3 separate regions of the Mus musculus genome follow, and all the other regions are reported to be linked to region 2. Evidence: microRNA targets listed by miRTarBase, many of them from high-throughput screens and not tested one by one. Region 2 holds a microRNA gene; each other region holds the end of a gene's coding sequence.
Evidence for each region. Region 2 holds the annotated microRNA mmu-miR-1968-5p (UGCAGCUGUUAAGGAUGGUGGACU, at 3,372-3,395, shown strand). A microRNA usually pairs through its seed, bases 2 to 8, with sites in the 3' UTR of a target mRNA and lowers its output. Matches are read on the target gene's strand: a 7mer-m8 pairs with bases 2 to 8, a 7mer-A1 pairs with bases 2 to 7 and ends in A, and an 8mer does both.

Region 1 (7,735 bases), not on the chromosome of region 2:
TCACTGCTTTCTTTGCTTTTCTACAGAATTACTGTGATCCGATGTCTTAAAACGACTATATTCAGGGTTTGCCTAGAGAACGTTTAGTTGCTGTCATAAAACCGAACTCTTCAATATTAGGCTTTAAGTTGCTAGAATAAATTACACTATGGAACAATGCTTTTGCCAGGTGTGGTGCATATACCTTTAATCCCAGTGCTGGGCAGGCACGGGTAGGCAGATGTGAGATCAAGGCCTCTACTTAATCTGTGTAGTAAGTTCTAGGAAAGCCAAGGCTGTGTTCCAAGACCCTGTCTCAAAACATACAAAGAAAGAAACAAAATAAAACAAAAGAGGCCTGCTCTTTTCTGAAGGGAACCATAAAGGAGTGGATCTTGGGGCCAGGGAAGATGGTGGGGAGGGCTGGGGGGAGCAGAGGGAGGGGAAGCAGTGGTCAGGTGTAATATATGAGAATTAAAAAGAAAAGCCCAGAGCTAGCTGTTGTCCTGTTTGTTAAGCTTTATGCCTAGAAGACAGAGAATCTATAGAGTTTCTCTTTGGCCTTCACGTAAGGATGCTTAATGTTCAACTGTTACAAATGCCAGTGTGATCTCACTGTGTAAGGAAATGGTCTGTTCTGGCAGGGCTGTGGAATCGCCAAGTGCTTGCAGATCACCTGCCAGGTTGGTCGACTGGATAGAGGCAAGAGCGCAATCCTGTACGTGAAATCCCTGCTGTGGACCGAGACGTTCATGAACGTAAGCAGACAGACGTACCAGCAGGTGTATACATTTTTTCAAAGAGTTATAAGGCTTGCTATCTAAGAGACCATCGCTTGTTATTTCTGTGCAGAAGGAGAACCAGAACCATTCCTATTCGCTGAAGTCATCTGCTTCCTTTAATATCATAGAATTCCCTTACAAGAACCTGCCGATCGAGGATCTCTTCAACTCTACACTAGTAAGTCACCGGCTTCAGAGCACGGATACCTGCCGTGCAAACACCTTAGTGATTTTAGTGGAAGTTTAACTAGAACAAGTGAAAAGATAAGTTATTGGAGAGGATTATAGAATGGAAAGCATTCTCTTTCTTTTTTTAAATTACATTTGTTGTTGCTGAGGAGGGTCACGTATCACAGTGTGCAGGTCAGAGGACAGCTTTTCAGAACTGATTCTGGGACGTGAGGATTGGACCTTGGATATGAGGTGTGGTGACCAGGGCCTTTAGCTGACGAGTCATCCCACCGACCCAGGCTCTGGTCCCTTGGTGTTCTTGTACTTCATTGTCCTAGAATTAGTAGAGCTGGCCCTTTTTCTTTAGCACTTGGTGCTGTGTAACAGGGTTTTTTTTTTTAACTGTATACCAAATTTGTCAGGGGATATTTTGGGGTTACTTTCTCCCCACAGTTATAAGGTTGGAAACTAACTACTAACTACTAACTAACTACTGCTAAGTAAACATATTTTGAAGATATCTAAGTATTGAAAATAGGATCAGCTGCCATGATCTGTATTGGGAAATTTACTAGTCATTTCAATTTAAATCTGATGTCAACCTATTGTCAGAGTCTTGTGTGTGCGCTTTTGTGTGTGTGTGTACGCATGTGCTATGGATGCCTAACGTGCACTCACTAAATGATTGTATGAGAAAAAGAACGTGGTGTGACTACCACTAAATTTATTATTAAAAGAAAGTTGAGTACTCACTGACTAGGCCAGTGAGCTATTTAAGACTCAGTGTGTTTTCTGCAACAGGTCACCACTAACATCACCTGGGGCATTCAGCCGGCGCCCATGCCTGTGCCTGTGTGGGTGATCATCTTGGCAGTTCTCGCAGGGCTGCTGCTACTGGCTGTGTTGGTATTTGTAATGTACAGGGTAAGTAATGGGCGTTGAAGGGGGTAGGGGGATGGAATAAGAGAAGAAGGGACAGGATGAAGGGAGTAAAGAAAAGGAGAAAAGGACCCACAGTGTTGCTGCCTGGTGAGCAGGGCTTATTTCAGGATGGGACACTAAACAAAAACGCCATTTGAATTTTCGAGGTGATAATAGAGTCGGTCATACTTTCAGCGATCTGTTACTGAGCTAGAACTATGCTTTTTCTTTAACTGGCAGATGGGCTTTTTCAAACGTGTCCGACCACCTCAAGAAGAGCAAGAAAGAGAACAGCTTCAGCCTCATGAGAATGGCGAAGGAAACTCTGAAACCTAAGGTGCTTCTTAAGTGGCGCCACTTCTGTCCGCTCCAAGTTCACCACCGTGGTGGTGGATTTCAACATCTCTCGTGAACAGTGAAATCCCAGGACTGTATTGCTGAGAGCACCCAGCAGTCTCAGTTTATCCACAAAATTGAAATGGATATTTGTCGACTTCTCTTTATGAATAAGTTCAGATTACATTTACTTCGCCTACACTAACGTGTGTTCTTAGGGACTTAAGTGATGGAATTTCAAGTGATTATCTTTGTTCAGTGTACATAAGACAGACAGCACTGAGTCAGCACGTTACATAGCATAGTACCTCTTCAGTTACTGTTCCTAATTGACTGTGTGGGGTTTCTCTCTTCGACGTTACGTTAGGGCAATTAGGATTGTAAAGCAGTTCAAATTTAGACCATCAGTAAGTTTGCACAGGCACTTAGAACAGGTACACATTACACTACAGTTGACTTCATAAGCTACTGAAGACTTTGCAATTGCATGGACTTAGATTTTAATATCATTTACACAGTAGAACTTTTAAATAACACGATACCATCAAAATTCTTTCCTGGGACTATAGCTCACTTCGAAGCGTGTGCAACTCCCTGGGTTCAATCCTGCACACTGGGAGGAAAACCAGCAGTTTCCTGTATTAACAATGGTACAGTATTTTTATATGAAAGTTAGGTTTTTATTTATGTGTAGTCTGCATTGTGTCTTATTGTATTTTAACTTTTGTAATTTAAATTCTACATCAAATCCTTTAAGTCGTTTCCTGCAGAAAATTTTATAATTAAAAATACCCGTTAAGTAATAGTGTGGTCTCAGCTGCTGCTGCTGCTGCTGCTGCTGCTGACTGAAGCCCGTGGAGTTGGAAGGGGTTTTTGAAGTACATCTATTCCCTTTGTTTGGCTGCCTGCAATGTGGAAAAGCCCTGGAGACTCTCCATGGGTCTCTACTCTAACTGCTCATCAAAAAGACATTCTTTAATTGGACCAGAGCGTTTAATTATTAGTAATTTATTTTCCTCCTGTCCTCATATTTTCCTTCCACTTCCAAAACTGAGAATGGCTCAAGACCTTCTTCATAACCTATAGGAACCTGGATCTCGCGCCCTTACCCCACGAGAGATGCCTGGGACCCACATTCCAAAGGTGGCTCATGGGATGGTTTCTAGCAATAGCATGGTAGAACCTCAGGTTAAGCAAGGTGATCTATAAAACCTGCCTCCACTGTCAGAAAGAATGCTACAAAGGTGTTTTTGTAAGCAGTTCTTGTTCCTTAAACCTTCTAACTCTGTCTTACATTTTTTAATTTAAATTACCTTTCTGGGACTTTAATAGAGGCAGCAGAGGAAGCACGGGACCGTCTTAAGTGGTGGTGATTTATTCACAGTTCCTCAAGGCCCCGGGATAACTATCAATTATAGCTCTATTTTTGTGCAATTACATCATGTTATGCATTGGAAGTTGAGAATTTTAATAGCTTTTTAAAATGCTGTCCTCATTAAGCAATGAAAAATATTTCTCTTAAATAATTGAATATTTTTCTACATTTTAAAAGTAATTGAAGTTTGTCTCACCGTATCTTAGGCTAATTCCATGTGCATATGGATGAGCTAATTTGGAGAATATATTTTCATAACATGAAGCACATTTATGTGAGTTGTACGAATTAGAATATAGACAGGACCCTATATTTAGCTTTAATAAAATTTTAAATTAATGAGTTCTGGCTTGAAAGATCATAATCATATATGCAATAATTATTTTTTTAAACCAATACATTTAAATTCTTTTAAGAAACATTTTGGTCTTAGGGACAAGTGTCTCTAAGCTACTTAGGACTACCACACAGGTCACTAAGTTGGCCTATACAAACTTTTACCTTCTTTGTCTGTCAACATAATAGTTGTCATTCCTGAAAATCAATGAAATTCATTCTTTGTAAAAATCAATATTGATTTTTACAGTTATTCCTATTATGGCTTCTATGCCAAGGAATAACTTTCTGTTAGAGATTGAAAGATATTTGTAATTGGAAATTAACATGATGTAGTTTTCAACAATAGCATGGATTTTCTTTTAAAAAATATAAATTTGTATCTCTGTAAACTTAGGAACTGTAATTTGAGAGTTAACACTCTGAAAAAAATGTTGAGATACTCTTTATCCCATAACAGCATAGGCATGTAGTCAACAAAATAGCAAGAGATTATTTTAGATTCATATTTGTAATTTACCAATAATTAACATTTATTTCTAAGCATAAAATTTTCATAATATAGGTTAATTAAAGAAATTGATTGATCCAGAGGACATTTGACACATGTGAGGAATATTAACGTGGATACTGATTTCTTATAGAGATATTTATTTTAGAGTTGGTACTTTAAAACATCTGTGTGAGGGTTACTTTCCTCCCTTATGTTTAATTATCATCATAATTCTGATTGTGTTCTGAATGACTACGGAAGGTGAAACAGTCAAAATATTGTCTTAAATCTACCTGTATTACAATATTACTTATTAATAGTAAATCCTCATGAATACATTATTTATATAATGAGGAAAATCACTAAGAGCAGACAAGAGTTTGTTGCCGCCTTACGAGAACAGTGTGAGTTTCTGTAGTGAGTCTAACCCCGAGGAGGGAATTTAGTGGCAAAGTATATATTGGTAGAGCAACTGGTTCTTGTAGGGCAACAGAAGGCCAAGGTGGCATCCATCCCCATTTGAGAGAATTCTGGGGAGAGCCTCAAGGAGAAGGAAAGGAAGTTGTTCTAGAGTCTCTGTGTGTGGCCATTGCCTATCTCTGTGTCACCTTGTTCTTACTCGTGGCTAGCTTGTACATTTAATTTGATGAGTAAGGGGAGATGACCAAAATGTATTATGGGATCTAAAAAGACAAATACAATTGCTTGATGTCTAGTAATTTGTAAAGGTTTCTTTGGACTTGGTCCTTTTATTTGAACCATGAACCTGTGGCTATGCCATCTGCAGTATACACTGGCATTCATTATAATTTCTGATATGTCATGGACTTCCTGTGAGGTACTGAATCTTTGAATTTTGTTGTCATTGTTCTTAAGTGCAATATAACAATGTAACGAAACTTAAATATAAGTCACTATTTAGTAATCTTAATCCGAAATTTATTAGTATTTTTTTGTTAGCAGAAAAGAACAACTCTGCTGTAGTTGTAGATATATAGGTGAAATTTTTTGTTTTTTGCTTTTTCTTTGCTTTTTTTTTTTTGTTTGTTTGTTTTTTTTACCTCTAAACCATCCAATCTGCATTTTATTTTAGGTGGAAGATGAACTATTCCTTACCAGTTTTAAAACACTTTCAGTATATTAAGGTAACTTGGAAGCTGTGTGTATCAAATTCTTTTGCTCGCTAAGTAACCTGGAAGATAATTTTTTTTGGCTTCTCTCGTGATCACCCACATTGGGTGAGACATAAGATGAGTCTCTCCTGAAATCTGTCATTTGCTAACTTGTTTTGAGTTAGTAAAAGCAGGTACCATGTTCTGCTTTGTTTCCAGTGTGTAACTTGTGACTGTACAATAAACTTGAACGTGTGGTGCCAGCTTCCTGTGTGGATTCTATCCTCTCCTATGAGCTCATGTTTCCTAATTACGGGAACCAGCGATACTGCATCAAACAGTGACTTCAGGGTGGTGACACAGCTCCCTACAAGTGCAAAGATTTAAGGGTATAGTTATCTAAAGGAAGGGAACCAACAAACAAAAGGCAAAGGGAGCCTGGTGTTAAGACACATTCCTCGGAAGGAGATACATTCTTAGCGTTTCAGTGCCTTGAAATAATAGCAAGAATCAGTCGGTGAGATTATGTGAAATTGAAAGGCATCTGCACATCAAAGGAAACAGCAGAAAAAAGAGGCTAACTATGGAACAGGTGAAAGTCTCAGTCTGCTTTGCAGCCTGCAGACCACTAATATCTAGGTGCTGTAAAGAACTCAGAAAACTAAACTCCACAACGCTAAACCATCCAGTCATTTCAATGAGCAAATAAAAGACTCAGGCATTTCTGAAAAGATGAAACATAAATGGCCACTAAATACATGAAAAAAATGTTCAATTTTAGCTGCCAGGAAATGTAAATCAAAACTGCATTGAGGTTTGGTTTTAACCTAGTCCGAGGGGCAATTGTTTACGAAGCAAACAAGTGCTGGGTGGTCTGTGTGGAACAGGAACTCCTAGTGGGAGATGGAGAGAATGCAAACCAAGGTAGCTCCTGTGGAAATCAGTCTGGAGGGCCCATGATAATGAAAATAGAACTATAATGTGCCCCAGATCTAGCAGTCCTGGAAAGCTAAACACACCGAATACAGTTGATCATCCATGTTTATTGTGACACTATTCAATACTGTTCACAATAGCCAAGCTAGGGGAACGGTCTAGGAGTTCACTGATGGATGGATGGATAAGAGAAATATGTATTTATAGTAGGACTTTATAAAAAATGCTATTATTTGAAGGAAATGGATGAGATTATCAAATTTGAGTAAAATCAGAATCAGCATGTTTTCCCTCATCTGTTGACCATAGCACACATACGGAAAGTGACATGAATATTCAAGGGGGGAAAAAAGGCAAATAGCGGGAAGGGAGGGTGAGGAGAGGTTAGCATGGGGTGTATTCATAGTACTCGATACACTTGAGAAACATCATTGTGCAACCCATTGCTTTGTACACTGAAATTCACCAAGAAAATAGAAGTTCTTCGGGTAAATAAAAATTTGCTAGAAAGATAAGAATCTCCATTTATAAGCCAATGATCTTCAATTCTTATAGCACTGAACTTTACAATTTTTACTTCATCGGGCTGCTTTAAATAATATCCATTTCCCTGTAAATGTATGAGCCGATTCCAGTTAAGTCCATCTTTTCATCTTTTGTTTCTAAGCCATCTAAAATAGTATTATACAGGGTCCAATACTGTTTATTGTTATTTTCATCCTTACGTGTCTTATTCTTTTTAATTTTACTTAATTCTCTTTTTTATTAATTTCAATCTATGTCTGCACATATATATATATTATACCTAGTCTCTTTCTTCAGCATGTATTCAGAAAAATTTAATATTTAATTTGATCAGAAGTTTGTCTGTGCTTGGATTTCTTCTGTGTGGGTTTTTTGTTTTCTTTTGGTTTGGTTTTTTGTTTTTTGTTTTTCAAGACAGGGTTTCTCTGTGTAGCCCTGGCTGTCCTGGAACTCACTCTGTAGACCAGGCTGGCCTCGATCTCAGAAATCCGCCTGCCTCTGCCTCCTGAGTGCTGGGATTAAAGGCTTGCGCCACCACGCCCGGCTGTGTTTGTTTGTTTGTTTGTTTTCTTTCTTTCTTTCTTTCTTTCTTTCTTTCTTTCTTTCTTTCTTTCTTTCTTTCTTTCTTTCTTTCTTTCCTGGCTTTTGATGCCCAGTTCAGACCTCATGCTCTCTGTTCCATCCCAGCTCTCAGGCTCACAGGGGAGAGGCGTTTTTCTCACACCCAAATTGGTGGGTTTTGTGCCCGGCTTTTTGATCTGGCTCCTGT
Region 2 (7,735 bases):
TAGAGAGGATGACCGCAGTCCTAGTCTGTCCCTGCTCTGGCTAGACAGTGCAGTAGAGGAGAGCGGTTAGGATACGTACTGGTTGTGTTCCATTTCAGAAGCCTTGTGGACGCTTTCCGTTGGGGCAGCGTCAGGAAGCTTCCGTTCCTCTCTGCATTGGTTTAGGAAGACAAGTGCTCAGGTGAAGAAGGAAGAGGAGCCACCCTCCTTATCCCCTGGGCTCTGAGCTCAACCTCAGTCTCTCTGGGTTTCAGTGAAGCGCTATGTCCGGAAGGGAATCCCGCTGGAGCATCGGGCCCGTGTGTGGATGGCCGTGAGTGGAGCTCAGGCCCGGATGGACCAGAGCCCTGGATACTACCATCGACTGCTCGAGGGCGAGAGCAGCTCCAGCCTGGACGAGGCCATCAGGACAGGTGGGAGGCCTGTGCTCAGAGCCTTGTGCCGTGGGGCTTGGGTGGGGGGTTGGGGGTGAAGTAGGGTCCTTCCAGGAGCAGAGATCCGCCCTGGCTCAAGTCATAGGCAATGAAGAAGTCTGCCTTACTAAAGATGTGTCTATAGATGCTAAGTTTGGGGGGTGGGGGATCGAGATTAGAGTGCTCACAAGGAGAACAGCAGACATTTGTATAACTACTAGGTCATTAGAAAATGAGCACTCTGGAATTCTAGTCAACAATACCAGTGTCAAGACAGTGTGCTGACACACTGTGTTTTACAGTTACCTAGCAGAGAACAGTGAGGGAGGCACGAGCTTGTCCTGCCATGGGTGGGACCATCCTGCAGCCTCCACTGCCCTCCTGAGTTTTAGTTCACGTAGCCAGGGCCTGTGTGAGCTGAGGCAGTCGGGGTGTGGCACCCAGTGAGGTCCTCAGGTAGCCTTGTATGTCTTACATACGATTGACTTTAGCTGTTTGTTTGGAAAATGATTTTAAGGGTTTATTTATTTTTTTATTTATATGAGTACACTGCAGCTGTCTTCAGACACACACCAGAAGAGGGCATTGGATCCCATTACAGATGTTTGTGAGCCACCATGTGGTTGCTGGGAATTGAACTCAGGGCCTCTGGCAGAGCAGTCAGTGCTCTTAACTACTGAGCCATCTCTCCAGCACTGGAAAATAATTTTAAAGGTTCTGTTTAGTGCCTTTTTAGAAAAAAAAGTATTGTGGGAAAATATGCATATTATAATTTCCCAAACAGAAACTGTCCCTGTTAAACACTAATGTGTCGTTTCCCTGTTTGTCTCAGACTTTAGATCCTGTGGGACACATGTAAGCTCTATCACATAGCTGTTTTTAAATTATATGTTCGTTTTTGAGACATGGTTTCACTATGTAATCCTGGGGCTGGCCTCGGCTCAATCTGCCAGTCCCTACCTCCCAAGTGTAGGACTAAAGAGGTACAAGCCCTGGACCTGGCTTGTTTTACAGGTTTCATTTTATTGATTGATTATGTGCTTGTGTGTACATATAGAGGACCGAGAGTCAAGGAGAGCTTGTGGGGACCAAGGATAGCACTCAGGCCACCAAGCTTGGTGGCAAGTACCTTTGCTTTTTTCTTAGAATGGCCTCCCAGACTGGCCTGGGCTGCCATATGTAACCATAAATGACCTGTCACTACCTCCTGAGTGCTGGGATTACAGGTGGATGCCACCATGCCTGGTATTTGTGGTGCTGGAGAGGAAACCAGGGCTTTCTACATGCAGTCAGGCACTGCCACCTGAGCCAGGTCCCGGCTTCTGTTTTGAGTATCTGGATAAACCATCTTAGAGGACCACATGGTAGGCTTGCCATGACCACAGAACCAGAGACAGGGCCGCAAGCCTCATCCACACTCGGCTCCGCCTAGGCCGTAGAAAGACAATGCCAGGGTCAAGGATGGATTCACCATGTAGGGTGGACACCGCCTTGCCCTCTAGTCTGCAGTTGCATGCCACCGTGACCTTTCTGCATCATCGAATGTTTATAGTTCCAGGAGAGATGTTTTGGGTCTGGGAGGTTATGGAAGGTGAAGGGCTACAAAGGGCAGGAAGAGGCGGGGCAGGGAAGGCTTGGCACAAAACCCGGTAGTGTGAGTTTACTTAATTCTTGCTATTGGTTTATCTCTGAAGGGAATCTTGGCCCATTCTCCTTCCTATGTTCTGGGCAGTTTCTGTTTCAGTTCTCTTGGAACTTTGGTGCATGCTGTAGCCCAGGCTAGCCCTGAACTCAGCAGTCATCCCACCTTAGCCTTGAGAGTGTTAACAGTTACAGGTGTGAGCCACCAAGCCTAGTGTTTGGTTGTTTGTTGAGACCGAGTTTCATTATGTAGCCCTGGCTGGCCTGTTATGTAGACCAGGTTGGCCTTGGACTCAGAAATCTGCCTGCCTCTCTTTCTAGAGTACTGGGATTAAGGATCAGAGGGGTGTGGCCCATGCTAGGGAATTTGGAAGCTCTCTCCCATGCTAACAGGGTGTTTGGAAGTGTCCAGGGGAGAGACCAGAGCTCCATTCCCGATTCTGACAGAGCTCTGGGCTCCATCACCGCTCTCCTTCCTGGTGCAGTGTGCTGTCTCCTGTGCTGCCCAGGCTCAGGTGTGCGACACAGGTGAGGTGGTGGCTAGGCTTCTCTGGGGTGATTCGGGGGCAGCCAGGCGGTGCCATTCCAGAAATCTGACACAGAATCTAGCCACCTTGGGAGATGCAGAGAAATTTCATGGTGCTGGTGAATTTCTGTGTAGACTTGAACCGGACATTCCCTGACAACGTGATGTTTCGGAAGACAGCGGATCCTTGTCTCCAGAAGACCCTGTACAACGTGCTCCTGGCATATGGGCTACACAACCCAGACGTGGGGTACTGCCAGGTGAGCCCTCAGAGCCTGTTTAAAACCTGGCATGTTTTAGGGGGGATATTTGGCACCCCACAGGTCCTCAGCAATGACCTTTTGTAGGTACAAGCTTTATTCCAGGCGCATGAAATCTGGGTAAGGAAGCCTTCCTCACAGTAGGCTTAACTTGCAGCGTGTCCCTGCTGGAAAAGCAGACGGCACCTGTTGGATGACTTTGGTGAGGGTGGGAATTGGGAAGAGTGGGAATGACGTTGAGTGGGCACAGAGTAGGAGGAGGTCGGGGCCTGAGGCGCGCTGTGGAGGCTTCCTGTGGGTGTGGGGGAGCATGAAGGTACTGACCTCTCTCGTGTTTCTGGACGCCTGCTGTCATGGATCCCACCTGCAGATTTTGGTCTTGTTTGGATTGCCAGTTGGGGAACAGTTTCCTGACTGTGTTTCAGGGTGTGCTGGGGCCTGTGAGCTTGCAAACTGCATGGCTTAACTTATAATGATGCTGGAAATGTGAGACCCCGGTATGGGTGGATCTACTGTCAGGGCCACCTCCTCTGCAGCTGTTAAGGATGGTGGACTATTGTTAGGGCCACCACCTCTGCAGCTGTTAAGGAGGGTGCTCCCTACTTCCTGTCCAGGCCTCACCCCAGAATCTGACATTCCTGGGATTGTTGTTTCCTCCACATTTGCCCTGCTTGTTGTCTGTGTCTAGGTTCTCCCTATTTGTAGGAGCACACATCATCTAAGTGGAGGTCCCTATTCCAAAGGGAACTCATTTTAGCTAGTGACATCTGCATAGACCTGTCTCCAGATGAAGCCACACTGAGGCAGGAGACTTCTGGCTTTGGGGACACAGTCCCGCCTGTAACACGGGGAAGTCAGAGTGTTTGCAAATGGCCTGGCACTCTCTTTGGATGAAGATGGACTTCACACAGGTGAAGAACCACAGTTCCCACGCTGCCATCTTTCCAGGAGCTGTCTCCCTCATCAGCTCATGACGCGGGAGCATAGAGTGGTCCCTGGCCTTTGTCCTGTCATGGTGCTGTGGTCTGCGCACTTTCCTTCTTCCCCTTCTCTTTTTTTCAGTGCTGCGCACAGAAACCTGGGTCTTCCGCAGGATTGCGAAGTTCTCTGACAGTGAGCTTCATTCAGCTTTGTGGCCTGTGCGTGTGATCATGAGTGCGTGCGTGCATGCTTCTGTGTGCAGAGACCAGAGGCTGACATCAGGCGTCTTACCCTAGAGATAATTCCCCACCTCGTTTTAAAGACATTGGCCTCTGAGCTCACTAAACCTGCTGCTTGCTAATTTAGGGGATTTAGGCCAGCAGGGCCTGGAGTAATCAGCCTGTGTCCTCCTCTCTAGGACTGAGATCAGCACCTGTTATGGTGCTGGCTTCTGCATGCGGGCACTGAGGATCCAAAGGCAGTTGTGGGACAAATGCTTTGCTAGGGCCATGTCCCCAGCCCTTGAGCATCTAACCTGTGCACTGAGTCTCATTCTTGAGGACACTCTGGGTGGAGAACAGGGGTGGAGGCTCTGTGCCTGGCAGTGAGTATTGCCTCTCGGTACGTGTATCTTTGCGCAGACCACACGTGCGGTGCCAGTTTGGTATTATTTGAGCCTATCCTGTTGTCTGTGGAAAGCTGGGTTTCTTCCCTCCTTTCTAGAGGAATGCCCACCGGTTTTAAAAAGGATAGATGAACAAAAGGCAGGGAGGCGGAGTTGTGCAAAGCTTTATCCTCCCAGAAGTGACATTCCAAGGTCCCCATCATAAGCTCCAAGGGCCATGGCCTCTGCCTGGCTTTGTGCCAGCACTTGGCACCCTGGCACCGTCGCCCATTAGGGAGAGAATCCTCTCGGTGCTCCACTCCAGGCAGAACCATGATCCCCCACTGATTCTTATTGTTTGTCCTTTTGGGGGATTGGGGATTGAACGTGCAGAGCTCGTGCCTCCCCTTGAGCTATCTCATAGTCCTCACTTTTTTAAAATTTTGAGCCAGAGTCTCAGTAAGTTGCCCAGGCTGGCCTTGAACTCGTGGTCCTCCTACCTCAGCTTCTGAAAAAGCTGGGAGGGCTACAGGACTATGTCACTGGGCCTGGCTGATGCCTGCTGCTGTTACAGACTCGGTCACTAACAGTTTCCCCTCTGCACGGCCTCTGTGCTGGTCAGACAGCTCAGGCTGATCCCTTAGGGGTCAGACAGCACTGACTGACTGTGCCATGGGCCAGCACTAGGAGGAGAGCGCCTTCGGTGTCATATTCTGAGTGGCAGCCGGCGTTTTCCAGGCTGAATGCCCTCATCTTGGCTGGCAGAACAGTGCAGACAACTAGCTTTGGGTCTCCACTGTGCAAGGCAGAGGTAGGTCAAGAGCAGCCATTCTCAACCTGTGAGCGTGGTCAAAGACCCTTTCACGGGGGTCACATATCAGATATCCTGTATATCATATATTTGTGTTAGGATTTACAACAGTAGCAAGTTACAGTTATGAAGTAGCAACGAAATGGTTTTATGGTTGGGGGGTCAGCACAACATGAGGAAGTGCATGAAAGGGTCGCAGCATTAGGAGGGTTGAGAACTGCTGGTCTAGAGAATCACGAGTTTCCCGGAAGGGCAAGAGAACGGAGCCTGCTGTGCGCTGTTTGTTTATTTTCCATTCTGATTTCAGGGAATGAATTTCATAGCTGGGTATCTGATCCTTATCACGAAGAATGAAGAGGAGTCTTTCTGGCTTTTGGACGCTCTTGTTGGAAGGATACTACCTGGTAGGTTGAAAGTTCTCTTTGCTCACCCTGCCCTTCCCCTCCCCTGCCCCAGCCCACCCTCCCCTGCCCTGCCTCTGGTGTCTTTGAAAAGGTCTGGCTGGCCAAGTCAGGATGGAGTGAAATGGTTGGGGTGTAACTCAGGAATAGAGCACTTTCTGGCTTTTATTAGAGAAGGTCTGGGGTTTAATATAACACTGGAAAGAGAAAAAGAGAAAAAAAAGTGTAGTGAAAACTGTGGCTTTGTGGAAGCCGACATTAAGGAGAATTGGGTTTCTGTGCCCTCTGCTTAGGGTGTGGTCTTGCCTTTGGCCGTGTGTCCCATGGTCCTATCCCCATGTGCGTGGCCTTTTTGTAGTCGACCTGATCACATATGAGCCACAGAGTCCAAGTGTATTCGTGGGCTTGTTAGAACTCAGCACGTTATTGTCAAGGGTTGCTGCTTTCTAAGTGGGAAGTCTTTTTCACACCTACGTGTCTTCTGTATTCATTAATAGAGACTAGTCACCAGTGGTAGTAAAGCCAGTGTAGACCCTAGGCTACAGTGAGGGTCCCTGGGAAGTGCCAGTGCTATCCTGAGGGAGGTGACCTGGGGCAGAGGATTTCCTGTCTGACCAGTCCCATGCGTGGCCCCTCAGAAGGGTTTTGAGAACATGCATGGGGGTGTGGCCTCTAGCCTAGGCTGTTTTCCTGGTTCCTGCTAAACTTCAAACATAGCCACACTTCAACCTAAGTTATATGTTCATATTGGTCAAGCCCATTTCCCAGATAAGGAGACTGGAGGTCTAGGGAATGGGTCAGCTCAAGGCAGATGTCCTGCTGTCTTTGGGTTCTGCACCTTGACAGGACTCTAAAGTACCTTGCTGAGGCCTGTGGTAGGGAGATGCTGGTGGACTGGGACCCACCAGACAGAAGCAAGCTCACCTTGCTGCTGCTGTTAGTCTGTGAGGTACAGAGGCAGGGATGTGCGCTGGCTGGTTTTATGTCAGTTTGACACAAGCTAGAGTCATTTTGGGTAGAGGGAACCTCAACTGAGAAAAATACCCTGTGGGCAAACGTGGTGTTTTCTTGATTGAAGGCACCATCGTGAGTGGTACCACCCCTGGGCTGGTGGTCCTGGGTTCTATAAGAAAGCAGGCTGAGCAAGCCATGAGGAACAAGCCAGTAAGTTGCACCCCTCCATGGCCTCTGCATCAGCTCCTGCCTCCAGGTTCCTGCCCTGTTTGAGTTCCTATCCTGGCTTCTTTCAGTGATGGACTGAGATGTAGAAGTAGATGGTTAATTAACCCTTTCCTCCTCCCATTGCTTTTGGTCATTGTGTCTGGATGCCACAGCCCAGCTGGACATGTGGAAACCAGCAGGAAGCAGGGCATGGAGATACATGGCTTTAATCTCATCACTCAGGAGGCAGAGGCAAGCTCTGTGAGTTCAAGTCCAACCCGGTCTACATTACAAGTTCTAGTCCATCCAAGGCTTAATACAGTTAGACCCTGCCTCCAAAACCAAAAAGCCCATGCTAGCAGTTTTGTTTAAGGATCCTGGGAGTGAGGAAGCTCCTGGTGTGGAGACAGGTGTGTGTGGTCTGAACAGGTGACAGGATTAGTATCTGGATTGTGTAAAGAGGCCCTAGGGATCTGAGGAACGGGGATGCAGCTTCGTGGGAGAATCCTGGGGGCCCTTATAGTAAGGAGAGGTGTGCTCACAAGTCCCGTGTTGTTAGACATTCCTCAGCCCCCCTGGGGCCTGCCATCAAGGTCTGATGAAAACTGTTGGACGTGCCATGGTCTCTTCAGGGAGGAGGAACGGAGATGTGAGAGATTCACTGGCCACCTAACTAGTCAGACCTCTGACTGAGACTGCGTCTAGCCTCAACCCTCCCTCCTCTGCCTCCCTGGAGTGGTTCCTGTCATTCAGCAGCTGAGCTGAAGTTGACTGAGGACTTTTCTGTCTTGAAACAGTGTTTCACTATGTATCCCTGGCTGTCCAGGAACTTGCTACATAGACCAGGCTGGCTTTGAGGCTCACAGAGCTCCTCAGGTGTGTACCATCCTGCCTGGCTGTAGACTGAGCACTCTGCTTTTACTGATATCTTGTCTCACCGCAGTGTCCCAGAATGTGGGGCTCTTAAGTCAGGTCCTGAGTCAGCCTTGACCCCATG
Region 3 (7,735 bases), not on the chromosome of region 2:
GTACCCAGAGCACTACTGAGAAGATCCACAACCTGATTCCCGTCATGCTGAAGCACCGCCTCATCCCACCCCCAGAGGAGACCTACTCTCTGCACCGCAAGATGGGTGGCTCTTTCCTCATCTGCTCTAAGCTGAAGGCCCGCTTCCCCTGTAAGGCCATGTTCGAGGAAGCGTACAGTAACTACTGCAGGATGAAGTCTGGGCTGCAGTAGGTGAGGTGTGGTCCAGGCTAACTAGGGGCCATGCCCTCCTTCAGGCTCAGTCAAGCAGAGGGAGGACGTTGAAAGGGAGCCACGGCCTCTATGAATAGGAAGAGAGCGTTGCGTAGACCCTCCTATTGCTTCTGTACTGTCCAGACAAAAAGGCAGGCTTCTTTTGCCATCTCCTCCCTGCTGTGGATGTACAACCAGGAACAGGAGCAATGCAGTACTAAACTCAACACAGCCACCTTTGGGGTCTAGTTGGCCATGGGAATGAATTGTGTGTTTCTGGGTGAGCTTATGTCCCTGCCCTTTGCCACCCCAGCCTGTGGCCTGGAGCTAGAAGCTCAGGACAGCAGGGTAGCCACCCTAGCTCAGTCTCAGCATGGACAACAGACCCTTTTAAAAGCAGGGCTGACATTGGATGAGCAGCAGGGCTCCAGCATGCCCCAGGAGAGGGAGCTATCACCCCACCCCAGGGGAGCGACACAGGCTCTTTGTTTGTATGTCTTGTAATTACACATTCATACCTTTGCGTTCAATAAAGAAGTGCGTTGGGGACTGCCATTTCCTATGCGTTCCGTGAATCCTGGGAAGGAGGTGGCCCCACTTATGACCTGGATGTGTGGTCTTTGTCTGTCTCTTGCTCTTGATGGGGACAGAACATGGCAACATAGGCAGATATTAAGCATTTCCATGTATGTGTGTCTCTGACTCAGGACTTTAATGGCACTGGAGATTAAGCCTAATGCCTTGCAGAGTGACTTGAGTGCTCTACCACCGGTTGGTTGTACCCTGAGCCCTTTTACTTTTGGGATGGGATCTCATCAAGTTGCTCAGGCAAGCCTTGAACTTGTAATCCTCCTGCTTAACTCCCCCTCACCCCAAGTAATTAGGATCACAAGTTTAAGCCACCAAGCTTCTTAGGCATTTAGAGAAAACAGCTTGTGGGGTTCAGTGGCTACAGAACAGACACTGAGATCTGGATCTGGGACAGGAACAGTGTGCCCATACAACCCATGCATGCTGTCTGTCCTGGCTAGGGGCCTGGGTCACTGCCACCCCTGCACCACACTAGGCTCACCGAGCTTAAGTTTTACTGCGTGGTGTTCTTGTCCATTTCTTTGTGGAATTTTTGCCAAGTCTTGGTCTTCACAGATGCTGCCTTGGAGGCCCAGTGCGACTTGAAAGATCTGAAAGAGTCTCAATGGCTAAGAGGGTGATGATTTCAGTTGCAGGTTTGGGGTCTCTGATAAGGTCACCCAACCTTGCCTGTGTGTCAGCTGCACCATTCTAACAGAACAGATCCAACTCCTACGTTAATGCTGCAGACAGACAACCCCGAGTCTCAAGCGCCAGTGGAGTGTGCCCTGGGGGCCTAAAGCAGTGCCCGGGGAGTTCTTATCAGAGAAAGGGAGTTGAGCACTTCCATGGATTTGAATGTTATTCTTACCTGAGCTCCAGGACCCGATCAAACCGACCTGTGTCCTCTGGGATAGAGAAGAGGTCCAGAGGGAGATCAGCGAGCCAAGAATGCCTCACACTCTCCACACGGGAAGAAATAGAATACTCAATGCTGACAGTTCCTTATTTTATTGCAGAACATCAAAGTCTGGTTAATTAGGTGATACCAACATAAAATATTGGTGAGAAATCCTTTGTTACATTTTTGACCACCCCACCTTAAATAGTTCTGTGCAAAAGAATCCATGTTATAGTTTGGTAGCAGATACTGTCAGGAAATTCCCTAGGACATCTAGGGACAAAACCAAACCAAATGAGTGCTAAGAGGCCAAAGCAGTATCTTCCCTTCCACACACACACACACAGGTCATAATTTTCTGAACAAAAATGATTACACTGAGGCCATGCAAAACTGTACAATAATATTACAATGAGAAAAAAATCCTAAAAATTTATAAAATAAATGCTGTTATTCTATCAAATAAGGTCATTTTGTTTTCAATGGCATCAAGGCTGACTGATGACAGTCAGTCTCCTAAAACTGAAGTAGGGCTCTGTGTGATGCTGTCCCTGGGACAGGAGAGTGTGGTGCTGGCGCTAGCAGGAGACACACTCACTGTAGCAGGGCTCTGCAAGGAACTGGGTTTGTGAAGACTGAAGGTTCCAACAAGGTAGGAGCCACTCCAAGGGTACAGGGAAATGCTGTGCAGTGGGGCCAGGTGGAACTGGAAGGGGACAGTGGCCTTGGGCTATGGCAGAGTAGGACCTACAGCAGGGTGTCAGCCATTTTAAGTGCACCTGTATTGGGGGTGGGCTGGGTGGGCGGCAGCTAGATGTGCTGAGCTGGGAGAATTAAATTTGTGGTGGCTGCCCTGGGAACGGAGGCTGCCCCTCTGCTCTGGCTTCTCTTTAATGACACCCAAGGACCCACACAAGGCAGCTGAACTTGCCTGGAAATAAACGCGGCCACTAAATTAACAAAATGACAGGATTTTAACATGAAAGAGGAGTAGCTGAAGAAGGGCTGGTGGGAATGACGGGAATTCCAGATGCTTTCTCTAAGCCTAGCTATAGGAATTCAGTGGAAAGCCTAACAGGCCATTTGCAGTTATTCCCCTGTCTTAAAGCTGCTCACTGGGAAAGAACACAAATGGCTAAGCACAGGGAGTATGTACACAAATTTAAAAAATCATATATATATATATATATGATCTGCTTAACAATCTCTGATAGGAAGGCGTTTGTTTTTGGCAAAACCAAAACGAAACCCTGTAATATATTTTGTATACCCACCCAAAACTCACATAACAGATTAGCCAGAATTCAAAGGGTAAATAGCATACAGGCTGGACATAGCACCAAGTACTAACCCATAGACACTATATCAGAAATGTCTCTTAATGTATTTTTTTTTCCATTTCTGGATAAATTCCCGGTGCCACACACTTTCAAATACCTTCCATGGGGTAGGGGGAGCGATCTCAAGAAAGGCTTAAACCTAAGGCCTTGTCTCTAATCTTTGTTATTGACTGCTCTGAGGAATCTTTGTTTCTGTCTCCTGGAAACCGACTAGTCATCTTTCTCCATCCTTTCCCAGTTTCTGACAGGAATACTCTTCACAGAAGGCTGGATGAATCTGGTAAGAGAGTCATTTTTGGAACCCCACCCTCTACTCTGGGCCAGCAGGGCTGCTGTTGGGATGGCTAGTTCTTTGACAGCAGTGGGAAATCCACCAAATCCACAGGGCTCCTTGGGGCAGAGCTGGGGTGGAAGTCACTGTGTGGAGCCGGACTTTAGGGGATGTAGAGGTTTAGACTGATTCTAAAAGGGTTCTTTTAAAAACAAGCACCTGTAGGCAACTTCACAATTGGTTGTCAAAGCTACAAACCAAAGGCTCAGGGTAGAGTTCAGCGTGTCTCAGCCTGGTCAGGTTTCTGCTGGGGGAAGGAGAAAGAAGAGGGAAAGGACGGAGGGAAGGGGAGGCAGCTCTTTCAAGCAAAGTGTCAAGTTGAAGCAGATGTATAGGGATCTGGCCAAACTAAAGATCTGACCCTTGTTTTTGGGTGTACACAAGTTATTTTTATATGATCTGTTTCCAAAAGGATAAATATAGAGTGACACAGTGCCCACCCCAAAAAACCCTTGCTCACTCCAGACTCCAGAGTGTCTGTCAAAGCTGCTGCTTACAAAGACCCCAGCCCACCCTCAACTCTCTTAACACCCCCATAAAGCTGCATGCCTGGGGAGTCTGACCTGCAGGGCCTGGCAGCTGTGTAAAGGTCAGCTTGGAGATCTATTTCAGATGTGGCTTAAAGTGGGGAGAAATGGTGGCTTTTCCATCCCGGAAGAGGAGAGGATTAAGAGAGGCAGGGCCTCTTTACGTCATGAGCACTAGTTTCCACCTGTCCCCTCCTGTGTGCGTAGCTGGAGGACGTCTGAGTAGAGGACTCTGTGGTCTCCTCATGCTTCCTGGGACAAGTGCAGCAGTAGATATCCAGAGGGGAAGCTGGCTCACAGTCCACGGTGGCCAGCACACCACAAGCCCCACCGTCCCCTCACGTGGGAAGGCATATTTGGTCAAGGCCATTCAAGCCTATGCTTCTGAGGTTTTCTGTGATTTAGTAAGGAGACCTGTCCCCAGCAGTGTGTTTAAAACTACCCTTAACCAACAGGGAAGTTGTGCTTAATCCAGAGACTCCTCATTGCAACCTAGAGGGGGCAAGGTTTGGCAGGGACAGAAAAGTAGCTGCGTGACCATCCCATAATCTTCAGAAGCCACGAATTCCCCGTTAGGATGGGAAGGGCTGGAAGGTGGCAGAATTGTTTCACATTCATCTGTGCGAGATACCAAAATATTGTAAGTGGGGGACATGGTCTGAGAACCAGAGGCAAGATGCCTCAGAGCAAGTGAGCCTCTGGAGTGGCTTCACCACCCCCGGTGGTGTTCAGGTCACATCCCACCAATGGCACTAATCTCCAAACATTCCTTAGATTTCCCTGTGACCTCAGCCTGCCTAGGCTTGAGAAGAGACACCATGGGGACCTGACTTCTGATCTCTTTACAGTGTCACTTGAGGCCTTTCTACCCTGTATATGACATAGCTGGGAAACAGACAAGAAACAACACATTTCTTTAAATTAAATGATCTTTCTTATATACGCATCCATCTTTCATCAAACACAAGATGCTTCTTTGACTATTTACATTCAGTATTTAACTTCTACATCTATGTATTTATTTAAACTCTGTATTGTAGTAAAATATGCATTGTTTTAATTCGTGAGGGTTTACTTCCTGGCAACAGTTGGCTGACGCTCATGGAGGCTGCTGGGCGCTACGTGAGGGCTACGGTGAGAACACAACCGGTCTACTCTTAGCGCTGCGTCTGCGCAGTCTGTCTACAGAAGCTACCTGGGGGTTGAGGGGAGGGTGAAGCGGGCCTGGCTGCGGAGGAATCCCCATTGCAGCAGTGCGGAAGGCAAGGCTGCTGCCAGGCACGTTGTCGGAGTGGGAGTGCAGAGTCCCTGCCTGCAGTCACCGGTCCTGGGCTCATGGATCCCAGCTCCCGCGGTCTGTGCTCTCCAGGGAGAGGCTCTTGGTCTTTTGGGGTGAAATGGGACTTGGGGGGCTGCTCAGGTTAGAGCTGTTGGAAGCTGTGGAATGCCTTGGAGAATCAGAGTCCTGCAAAACAAACAAAGCGTTGGTGAGAAGCAAAGGAACAGAGAACAATCACTGCCCCAGGCCTCTCCAGTACCCACAACCCAACCACCCATGCGTGTCAGCAGACAGCTCCTCCATGAGATGACTGGAGGATGCACACACATGAAAACTGCTGAACCCTTCATTGAAAGGTGATTAGAAGCCTGAAGCTTCTGGAAAGCCACAGTTTACACACCCGTGACAGGCCTTGCCCTCCCTTCAGAGGCACATGCAAAGGGGCAGGGAGTAGATCAGCCTGGACGAAACATTGGCCTTAAGCATGCATGGCAGGTGCAGCCACCATCCATGGCCCATTCACCTCTCCATCATAGTCCCTCGCAGGGGCGTCACTTCCTTGGTCCATGCCTCCTGATGACAAAGAGCCCTCCGAGGGAGAGGGCATGGGCTGTCGCTTTGTGTTATAGCTTCCTCCAGAGAATTCCCTCTTTAGTGCACTGCCATTCTGGGCTGACGACCCTACAGGACAATGGTTGGGAAGAACTATGTATTCAGAAGAGGCCACACCTCTATAAAGTGTACAGGCTTCCAAGAAGACAGAAGTCCCATGCGGAAGGTTGTTTCTGTTGTCCTCTGGCTATGGGACTACTGGTGTTTAGACAGCAGTCCCCAGGCCCTGTGGTGCCCATGGAATCCTTCCAGTGCCATCTGCCATTGCCAGGGTGCCCTCAGCATCGTCATACCACAGACATGTTGGGCTTTCTTCTAACAGATGGGGCATCTGCCTACCCAGACCTCACAGAGGCTCCTAAGACATGGGCTGCACTCTCAGAAGCACACAGCCATCCCCAGGCAAATGCTGCCTTTCAGAAACTCTCATAGAAAACAGAACACAAGAAAGCACTCTTATTTCATAGCTTGAGAGGAACACTTTGGGGGTTACTTTGAGGGCACCCTCAAATGCTGACCTAAGAGCTGGGACATATAGCAAGGGGACCAGTGGCACTGACAACAAGAGAAGAACCCTTGGAAACATGACAAGTACTGTTAGTGCCCATTTAAAAGTGTTCCACGTTTCTCATTATGCTTTAGTCTTTGCTTAAGAAAAGTTTTAATTTTATTAAGTTTCATGACTGGTGAAGGACACTGAGTTATAGACTGTTTCAATGTATTACTGATTTTGTTAACTGCCTTTTACATTAAGAATCCAACAAAACTGTCACCATACAATTGTATGTCCAGCTACTGACCACCAACTGTGTCAGTGCTCAGAAGGCACTGCAGAAGCACACCCGGCAGACTGTTCTCAATGCCCCCGAGGCCCTTCCCTCCCTAAGCCCTCACAGCCTCACCATCCCTGACTCCTTCCAGACACTACCACTACTGCTTGTAAACTGGTGTTCTAGAAATATAGTACCTAGGTCCTTGCCAAATGGTTGTAGTAGGTTAGCCTGATGCTGTTTGTATTCTAAAACTAAAATTGGGTTCCCAAGACTGGTTGCCCCAGAGATGAGAGAGTCTGCACTTAGATGCTAAGTGACCCTGCCCCCAAGTTATTTCTGATTGGCAAATAAAGATGTCAACAGTGTTATGAAAAAGCCCAAACCATTCTGACTCTCAGAAAGCTCATGAGGTAAATAAACACATGCTGTGGTGTGTGGCTCCTTCTCGCCCCCTCGTCTCTTCCCTGCCTCCTCCAACCTTTCTTGTCAGAGTTCTGTGACATGGCTCAGCCTGGACACTTGCTCTTCTCTTGCGTCAGCCCTGTGCTGGCATGCCCAGCTTGTTTGCTTGCTATTTTATGGTTCTAAGTTGTGGGGTAAGTTGTTATGTTGTCAGTAGTGATGAATATAGCATAACTGAACCTCACAATATATGGAAACAAGGCACGTATAGAAACCAGTATTTACTGAATAAACAAAAGTACCAGGGAAGTCCAAGAATGAGGATAACGAGTATGTCTTCTGACTGAAGGACTTTGAAATAGGAAAATGGATGTAGTGTATTTAGCTGCTCGGCCATCAGTGGTTTGGGAATAAAGAAGGCTTTGCTGAGGTCTCTGGTGTCAAGTGTACAGTGTCTGCTGGACACTCAAAGTTGATGGCAATCTGTAACTACCATCTTACATGCAGGAACTATCCCAGCCACGATGAACTAACTCTGTGCACATGTTCCCACACACTCGGGCATGCTGCTGCGGGCATCACTGTACAGTCCCTTCTGGTAGACACAGGTCCCCATCATCTCTACCAGGAAGTTGCTCCTGGGCAAGGGATACCTTTTCTTTGTGGTCTCACCTCCTCAGCTCCTCTCCCCTCCCCGCCCGGCCACTTACGTGCAGACAGGCCGCTGCTGGCACTCATGGAGCGGCCTGGCTCAGGGCGGGACTTGGTGATGGAGGGAATACTGACGG

Region 1: miRTarBase lists Itgav as a target of mmu-miR-1968-5p. Seed matches in the 3' UTR shown: 7mer-m8 at 3,004-3,010.
Region 3: the mRNA of Cdc42bpa is a reported target of mmu-miR-1968-5p. Seed matches in the 3' UTR shown: 7mer-m8 at 3,930-3,936 and 7mer-m8 at 2,601-2,607.

The regions. Positions count from the first base shown.
Region 1 is chr2:83,801,147-83,808,881 of GRCm38, forward strand. It overlaps Itgav (integrin alpha V), which reads left to right. Exons shown (of 30, transcript NM_008402.3): 27 at 624-737; 28 at 832-939; 29 at 1,734-1,856; 30 at 2,094-5,771. The coding sequence ends at 2,189. Among named protein-coding and RNA genes, the nearest start is that of Fam171b, 7.6 kb to the right of the region's middle.
Region 2 is chr8:13,184,728-13,192,462 of GRCm38, reverse strand. Mir1968 (microRNA 1968) reads left to right here and starts at 3,365; the gene lies at 3,365-3,432. It overlaps Grtp1 (GH regulated TBC protein 1), which reads left to right. Exons shown (of 8, transcript NM_025768.2): 3 at 255-413; 4 at 2,716-2,840; 5 at 5,484-5,580.
Region 3 is chr1:180,159,646-180,167,380 of GRCm38, reverse strand. It overlaps Cdc42bpa (CDC42 binding protein kinase alpha), which reads right to left. Exons shown (of 37, transcript NM_001359541.1): 35 at 7,658-7,735; 36 at 5,684-5,841; 37 at 1,778-5,346. The coding sequence ends at 5,215. Coq8a (coenzyme Q8A) reads left to right here. Exons shown (of 15, transcript NM_023341.3): 15 at 1-2,143. The coding sequence ends at 212. Among named protein-coding and RNA genes, the nearest start is that of Gm38331, 15 kb to the right of the region's middle.